2 linked regions of the Sus scrofa genome follow. Each later gene encodes a partner of the first gene's protein in a complex. Links are inferred from orthologs where the notes say so. Each region holds a gene or a part of one and is shown on either strand. Other genes may lie near its edges.

The links. Proteins that work in one complex are often made in the same cells at the same time.
Region 2: QRSL1 (region 1) and GATC share a complex: the UniProt entries of both Homo sapiens proteins name them as parts of the heterotrimeric GatCAB amidotransferase (AdT) complex. The link is inferred for Sus scrofa from reciprocal best matches to the Homo sapiens genes QRSL1 and GATC.

Annotation. Positions count from the first base shown.
Region 1 is NC_010443.5:72,818,600-72,822,110, reverse strand, and holds part of QRSL1 (glutamyl-tRNA(Gln) amidotransferase subunit A, mitochondrial), read right to left. Parts: intron 524-3,511; coding exon 364-523; intron 1-363. UniProt on the Homo sapiens protein: Allows the formation of correctly charged Gln-tRNA(Gln) through the transamidation of misacylated Glu-tRNA(Gln) in the mitochondria. The reaction takes place in the presence of glutamine and ATP through an activated gamma-phospho-Glu-tRNA(Gln).
Region 2 is NC_010456.5:40,412,597-40,416,767, forward strand, and holds the start of GATC (glutamyl-tRNA(Gln) amidotransferase subunit C, mitochondrial), read left to right. Parts: upstream 1-1,368; 5' UTR 1,369-1,431; coding exon 1,432-1,512; exon of another isoform or gene 1,513-1,601; coding exon 1,602-1,774; exon of another isoform or gene 1,775-2,904; intron 2,905-4,171. Other genes in the region: TRIAP1 (TP53-regulated inhibitor of apoptosis 1), read right to left, coding at 231-314, 1,180-1,368. UniProt on the Homo sapiens protein: Allows the formation of correctly charged Gln-tRNA(Gln) through the transamidation of misacylated Glu-tRNA(Gln) in the mitochondria. The reaction takes place in the presence of glutamine and ATP through an activated gamma-phospho-Glu-tRNA(Gln).

The DNA of each region.
Region 1 (3,511 bases):
CCACGTTGCTGTGGTGAAGGCTGGTAGCTGCAGCTCTGTTTCAACCCCTAGCCTGGGAACTCCCATATGCTGCAGGTGTGGCCCTAAAAATACAAATAAATAAATAATAGGGAAATGTTTTTTATGTTTAAAGCTCCACTTGCTGGGAATTCCCTGGTGGTATAGGAGTTGAGACTCGGTGCTTTCACTGCCGTGGCCAAGGCTCAATCCCTGGTCTAGGAACTGAGATCCCACCTCAAGCCACTGCATGCTGCAGCCATAAATAAATAAATAAAATAAAGCTCCACTTGCCAAATGGAAACTGCTACATCCAATTAAATTCTTTCTCTTGGGATATAACAATTGTAATTCAAAGGAATTTACCTTCCTTATATCTTTTCTCTGATTCTTCAGCTTGCTTTAAGGCCACCTCTTCTGATACAGTAATGTAAGCATTTAGAAACTTGGTCTTCTTAATAAGGGAGAGACACTTTTGACAGAGCTCAGTTGGAGTAATTTGGCCTTGTTTCAGTGCTGTAGAAACCTGTAGTATATACAATTCAAAAACCCTTTGCTGAGTTGGCAGAAGTTTCAAATGTTACACTATGGTGGGCAGATAGAGTGATTAAGTATAAAAATTTGAAGTGAGGCTTGGATTTAAAACCAAGAGAACTGATCAAGTCTATACTTAGTGTGGTGAATGAGGGTAAAAACATTGGTCAGCTGGATTGGGTTGGAGGACACTGCCTTCATAGCTCTAGCTAAGTAACTCTATGTCAGGCTTGAACAAACAAGATCAATGGTTTAGGAAAGCCACCCTGTCTAGGAGAAGTAGAGGCCCAGTGTGGGTGAAGCATAGGTTAGGGTAGATTGTGTACAGAGAAGAGCTTAGCAGAAACATGGGCCATCCATGGAGCAAAAGAGAAATGAACTAGACAAGGCATTAGAGGACAATGGCCCTCCCAAAAGTGATCTTCATTAAATAGATTTTTTTTTTTTTTTTTTGTATTTTTAGGGCTGTACCCTCGGCATATGGAGGTTCCTAGGCTAGGGGTCTAATCAGAGCTATAGCTGCTGGCCTACACCACAGCCACAGCCACACGGGATCCGAGCCATGTCTGTGACCTACATCACAGCTCACGGCAACACCGGATCCTCAACCCACTGAGTGAGGCCAGGGATCAAACCCACAACCTCATGGTTCCTAGTTGGATTTGTTAATCACTGTGCCACGACGGGAACTCCCTCTTTTTTTTTTTTTTAAATCTACTGTAGAACTCAAGCAAGAGCCACTATGAATTGAGAGAAATCCTTGTAAACTATGAATTCAAAAGCCAACCAACAACAAACTTTTCTAAAATCATATCTTTGATGCATTAGGAAAGCTAACAAATAAGCGTTAAAATAAACAAATGAACAGAACCTGAATACTGACAGTAAAGCCTAAGGTGAAGCGATGACTATATAATACTTCCTGTAGGAAGTAATAATAATAAATACCTACTAATCAGATAAAAGGAATGAATAACAAGATGTCAAAGATGACACAAAAGCTTTGGGGACAATCTGAAAAGAAAGTTGGATAAGATGGCAGCTCAGAAACAAGGGGGATCGGGGGGAAAAGTAGCATTTTCTGAGTATTTACCAAGAGCCAGGCACTCTTGTTGCTTTATGTTCATTATTACTTTATTTAAACCTTAAAACAACCAGTTAAGTCAGGTACCATTAACTTCATTTTGCAGATGAAGGAACTAAAGCTCAGTTAGGTAACGCGATCTGTCCAAAGTTACACAAATAGTAAAGAGTAACTTAACATCTGCTCCTTTACCATTTCTCTCTGCACCAATGGAAGCCTGTCCTGTATGTTAACTGTATTTTCATGTGTCCTATATGCCTCAAGCAAGAGGGGTTTGCATTTAGGGGAAAATCTGCAAATGATCTGCTCTAGGCTGTTGAATAAATCATCAAAGCAGCCGCATTCTTAGGCCTGAGGGTTTTAAGCCAGAAAAGCGGTGGGAACAGCCCACTGAGAGAATCCCTAATGCTGATGGATGAGGAGAGGGCTGCCATGGGAGAGATTCAGGATGGGGAGGGGCAGCTGGGCTTGACTTAAAAAAAGTAACCTAGTAACGAGAAGAGCTAATTCTGTTGAATGGTTTGTATGAAATGTAAACTCTTTAGAAGACAGGAGCTGGAGAGAGAGAAAAGACAGCATACTGTCAATAGAGAGTGGGCTTATGTAAATAGGCCGGGTGCAAGAGTCAGAACTAGCAGGAACACAAAGCTGGAGAGACAGAGGTTTAAGTCCCCTAGGGCCCTTTACCCTCAAGCTGCCTTCTGACTTGCCAAGTGATGAGAGAACAAGTGGTAAAGAGCTGCTGCTCTTTAGACCCACGCTAAGAGGCTGATAATTACTTCCAATTGTACAGGTAAATTACTGACATTCCTGCTTGAAATTACACAGCTAGAAAGTAGGAGAGCTGGGATTCAACCAAGGCTCTGATCTTGTTTCCAAAACTCATGCTCTGGGCCATGAAAACGACTACTTTTCTGCAATGTGTTACAGCATTTACTCAAAGTAGAGAACATTTTATTAACTTTATAGATAACATCAAGAGATTCACTTAAAGAAGGAACTTTCAAAAGGAAAACTCTTGCTAAATGCTGAAGATACAGAAGGCCTTTGAAGGCTGAGTGTTCAGTTGACTGGTACTGTCCTTAACACACTCATTTAACATTCATGCTTTTGTCTCCATTATTCCAAGAAATAGCACATTGAGATCACCAGCAAACTCCACAGTCCTAAATCCAGCAGCCGCAGCTCAGTCCAGCCGCCCTCGGCATTCAATACAAGGCATTACTTCCTCCCTGAAGTACTTCTTCATGCGTATTTCAGGACATCAAGCCCTCCCGGGTTTCCTCTTGCCTTACCAGCCATTCCTTCCAGTCTTTTTGCTGGCTCTGCTTCCTAATGCTGACCTCTAAATGTCGAGCAGTTTTAAGCCTTTTATTTTCACCCTCAACTTCCCATGGGATCTCATCTGACCAAGTACTTCAATTATCTTCTCAACTCTGGCCAATTTATATCATACCTAGCTTCCTTCTTGATCTCCACACTCCTGTACCTACCTGCTTAACTGACATCCTCTCTTAGACATCTTTGAGGGCATCTCAAAATCAACATGTCCAGAACGGCAACCTTGATAACCTTCCCCTCACAAACATGCTCCCTATAGTCGTTCCTATCATGATGAATGTTACCATTTCTCCAATTGCTCAGACCCCAAACCTAAGCATCCTCCTTGACTGATTGATCTCCCTCAAACCCCGTATCCAATCCATCAGAAAGCCCTGACTTAAAAGACATCATACCCACCTTGCCCTGCCTCTACTCCCACCATCCTATCCATTCTGCGGTCATCTCTTACCAACGCAACAGCCTTCTAACTGGTCTTCCTGCTTCCTCACTTGCTTTCCGATGGTCTATAATCCTGAGCAGCCTGAAGGAGTTTTTTAAATTTTAAATCAGATC
Region 2 (4,171 bases), on another chromosome or scaffold:
CAAATAATCCCATCATTTAGCACACGAGTTCCTGGTGAGATGCCAAAGCCAGAAATCTAAGCAGAGTGATGGCTCATCATCTTTTACAAGTGAAAGAAAAATATCAGGAAGGAAACTCCTCCCTCCTAAACTCATCAAATAGATCCGCTATCTTCATCACTTTAATTGACACAATCCAGGGTCTTCAATTTCCCGATTTGAGGAGTCCATTTTCAAGGTGACTGTCAAGGTCAAGAAGAGCTTTCAGGCTTTTCTTTGCCATGGCCCATGAACTCCAGTCCTTCAATGGGAATTTCCTTCTCCTTTATTGCTTTCTGATGGGAGAAAACAAATGCTAAAGATCTACATGAAGCCTGAGGACCAAGTTTTATCAATATGATGGTACAAAGTCAATCTGACTGGACCAAACAAACCCCATACTTTTGAACATAAGTGAGATTAAGTGTAAGATGAGAGAGACTGGAAAGAGTTGTGTCATCAAAATTCAGAAGTGGAATTTTAAACAGTATCACCACTCTTGTGACAGATACAAGTTAAATCAGTTCCAGGACTTAAGTAACTGAGCAAGCCTCACTTTCCTAAGTGGGAGAAAGCAACTCCACATGGAATTAATTGCTTAAGTTTTTAAACTAACTGTGAGTGCCTTGCCCAGGGCTGTTGTTACAATTCAAAGCAGTTTCACATTCTTTGAGCTGGAATAAAAATTTGCTAGCTAGAGAGATAAAACAGACCAATGGAGGGGTAATAACAACGAAACAGACTCTCCATAATATCTTAACAGGCCAGAAGGCTAACACTCGGTCTCGATCCGCAGCAACTATGGAAAATACACAGTTCAGGAAACTTGATCCCAGACTAATCACTTCCTATTTCTGGTTGCGAGTGTTCCACGCCTACAATGCAAGTAACTATGCCCACTTTGCAAGTTTAGGTTGCGCATAAACCAAAGAATGTTAATGGGCTCCGTAAAAAGTAAAGCGCAGCAAAAAATATTTAACTTTGTCATTCGGAGAGATATCAGGTGACCTTGGTGGTGACGGTAGAGAACTCCTGCCATTAGTCTCATCGAGGCTTTCCCTCGCCCTGTCCACCCTCACCCCTCAAGATAAGATGGCCCAGGACACCGCAGAGAGAAGCCGGGGCCTGGGGTAGAGGCGAAGGGGCCCGGGCAGCGCTCACCTGAACACATTGCTGGTAGCGTTTGAAGAGGTCAGTGCACGGGTCACCGGAGCCCTCCCCCTTGAGGAACTTCTCGGCAAACCAACGATTGAAGCACTGGTCGTACTCGCGCTTCATGTCCGTGCAACCCTCCCCTACGCTGTTCATGGCGTCGGCGACAGCGGCGGTGACGGCGCTCTCGGATGTCATCACTTTTAAGCGCGTCGCTCGGCTTTACGAGAGGACGCACTACGGAGGCCGAGCAGGAGAGAAATGTGGGCGCGGGCTGTGTGGCTCGGCCTTCGGGCCTCGGCGGGCGCGTTCCGGGGCTTCACCTCCAAGGCGGATCTTCAGGTAAAGGCCGGAGCGTCTAGTCCTTGCTAAAGCCGGGCGGGAGGCGGAGCAGACCCCATCCATGACCCACGCCCTCCTCATTGCCCCAGGGAAGTGGCCGGATTACGGCCGAGCTGGTGGAACATTTGGAGCGACTAGCGCTTGTGGACTTCGGCAACCAAGAGGCCGTGGCGCGGCTGGAGAAAGCCATTGCCTTCGCCGACCGGCTCCGCGACGTGGACACGGACGGGGTGGAGCCCATGGACTCAGTCCTGGAGGACAGGTAAGCTCGCTCGCGGCGGTAGAGATTAGTGTCCCAATTCATAGAGGGGAAAAGAGCCTTAGGGAGATGCGAGAACTTGCCCACGGTCACCCCGCGAGTAAGTACTTTCACTCTTTACCTTGTTCGTTGGGGATCCTTTCCCTCCTTTTTATTTATTTTTGGCCGCCCCCGCGGCATGTTGAATTTCCCCGGGGTTAGAACCCGGCGGCAGTTTCGACCTGCATCAGAGCTGGGATAACGCCGGATCCTTAACCCCTTGCACCACAGGGGAATTTACAGTCACTCCCAGGGTAACTAGGAACGAAATCCGAACTGCGAAGCTTGACTTTCGAGGCCCGATTTAAGAATCCCTTCCTATCACTCCGACGTACTGCTTTTATCACTCTAACCACATTGGTTTCATTACTGTTTCTCCACACTCCAGATTCGTTTCTCCTCTAGAGTCTTTGCGCTTGCCATTCCTTTTGTGGATAGTCTGTCTCCTTGGCGTGTTTTAGCCTTTCCTGACCACTTCAAATACCTCACACCTTCCCGTCACTAACTCCTTATCCTGTGGATTTTCTTCTAATATTTTTCTTGATTATCTTATTTTCGTTGATTCGTAATATTTGTTACTAGAATGTGAGTTCATGTCTGACTTATTACTGTTGGATTCCCGTATCAAAATTTTTTAATGACCATATTTTCTGATCTAGTGGCTTCCTATGGAAGTATTTTTGAAAGTGCATCAAGATGTTTGCACAAGTATGCAATTCTGTTTATAATACAAAACAACAGAAAAGAAGCAAAATGCCCCAGAAACAATCTAAGTGTCCTTCATGACTAAATACATCATCATACACTGGAATATTTGGCAGTTAAAAATAATGAGGAGTTCTGATTGTGGCTCAGCAGGTTGCAAACCCAACTAGTGTTCATGAGGATGCTGGTTTGACCCCTGGCCTTGCTCAGTGGGTTAAAGATCTGGCGTTGCTGTGAGGTGTGGTGTATGTATGTAGGTCTCAGACATGGCTCAGATCCCAAATTGCTGTGGCTGTGGCTGTGGCTGTAGCATAGGCCAGCAGCTGCAGCTCCAATTTGACCCCTAGCCTGGGAACTTTCATATGCCACGAGTGCAACCCTAAAAAGCAACCCCCCCCCCAAAAAAAGCCACAAAAAACCAAAAAGAACCCCCAAATGTCTAAGAGGGCAGAGTAGTAACAATAATCCAAATGATGAAATAGTGTAATGCAATGGGAGGGCAGGTCTTTGACAAAAGGGTGCAGCCTCTACCCACCTCTACCAATTTTGCCAAATCTTAATATATTTTTAAATAAGATGTTCTTTTGGAGGTGTTTTCATTTTTTTGTTTTTTTGTCTTTTTTTTTAGGCCCTCTCCCATGGCATATGGAGGTTCCCAGGCTAGGGGTTGAATGAGAGCTGTAGCTGCTGGCCTACACTATACCCACAGCAACACCAGATCCAAGCCTTGTCTGCAATCTGCACCACAGCTCACGGCAACACTGGATTCTTAACTCACTGAGCGAGGCCAGGCATTGAACCCACATCCTCACAGATACTAGTTGGATTTGTTCCTGCTGTGCCACAGTGGGAACTCCCATTAATTCTAATACATGTTGATCTATTTCAAGCAGATTCCTTTTTGCTTTGGAAGTTGGTTAATTTTTCTGGTTATATCAGTTAAGTTTTCCTTGACATTATCATCTGGTTCATGATTTTCCATCTTGAGCCTTACACTCTCCATCCCATAGTCACTGCCTCTGGGTCTTCTTCAGCCATGCTAAGGTTCACTCCAACCTTTGCTCAACTTGGCTAGGTGCAGCCATCCTTGGCTGTCATGTGACACCTGAAGTGGGTCAAAGATGTTCTTTTTCAAAAAGCAGACTTATTTGCTGTTTGGGACTGCAGCTTGTTAGGAATAATGCATATGTAGCTTATAAAGACAGGAGCAGTCTACAGCTGTCCTATCCTTTTCCTGATGGAATTTTAAAAAATAAACTCCTGGTAGAGGAGAAAGATTAGTTCCCTTTAGTCAGTACCATTAGGGAGAACCACACCTATCAGAAACCATAACCTTCATGTAAAGTGCTTGCTAGCCTCACGTTCTCACTTGTATTTGATTCCTTCAAATCCTCTATTTTGTAATCTGATGCTTAAATCTAGGGAGGTTAGCCACTTTGCCCAAAGTTTTTTTTTTTTCTTTTATTTTTTCTTCACCTGCAGCATATGGAAGTTCCCAGGCTAGGAGGTGAATTGGAGTTGCAGCTGAGGCCTACCCCACAGCCACAGCAATGCTGGATCCAAGCCTCATCTATCTGACCAGTGCCACAGGTTCCAGCAGCACCAGATCCTCAATCCACTGAGCCAGGCCAGGGACTGAACCTGCAGCCTCAGGGA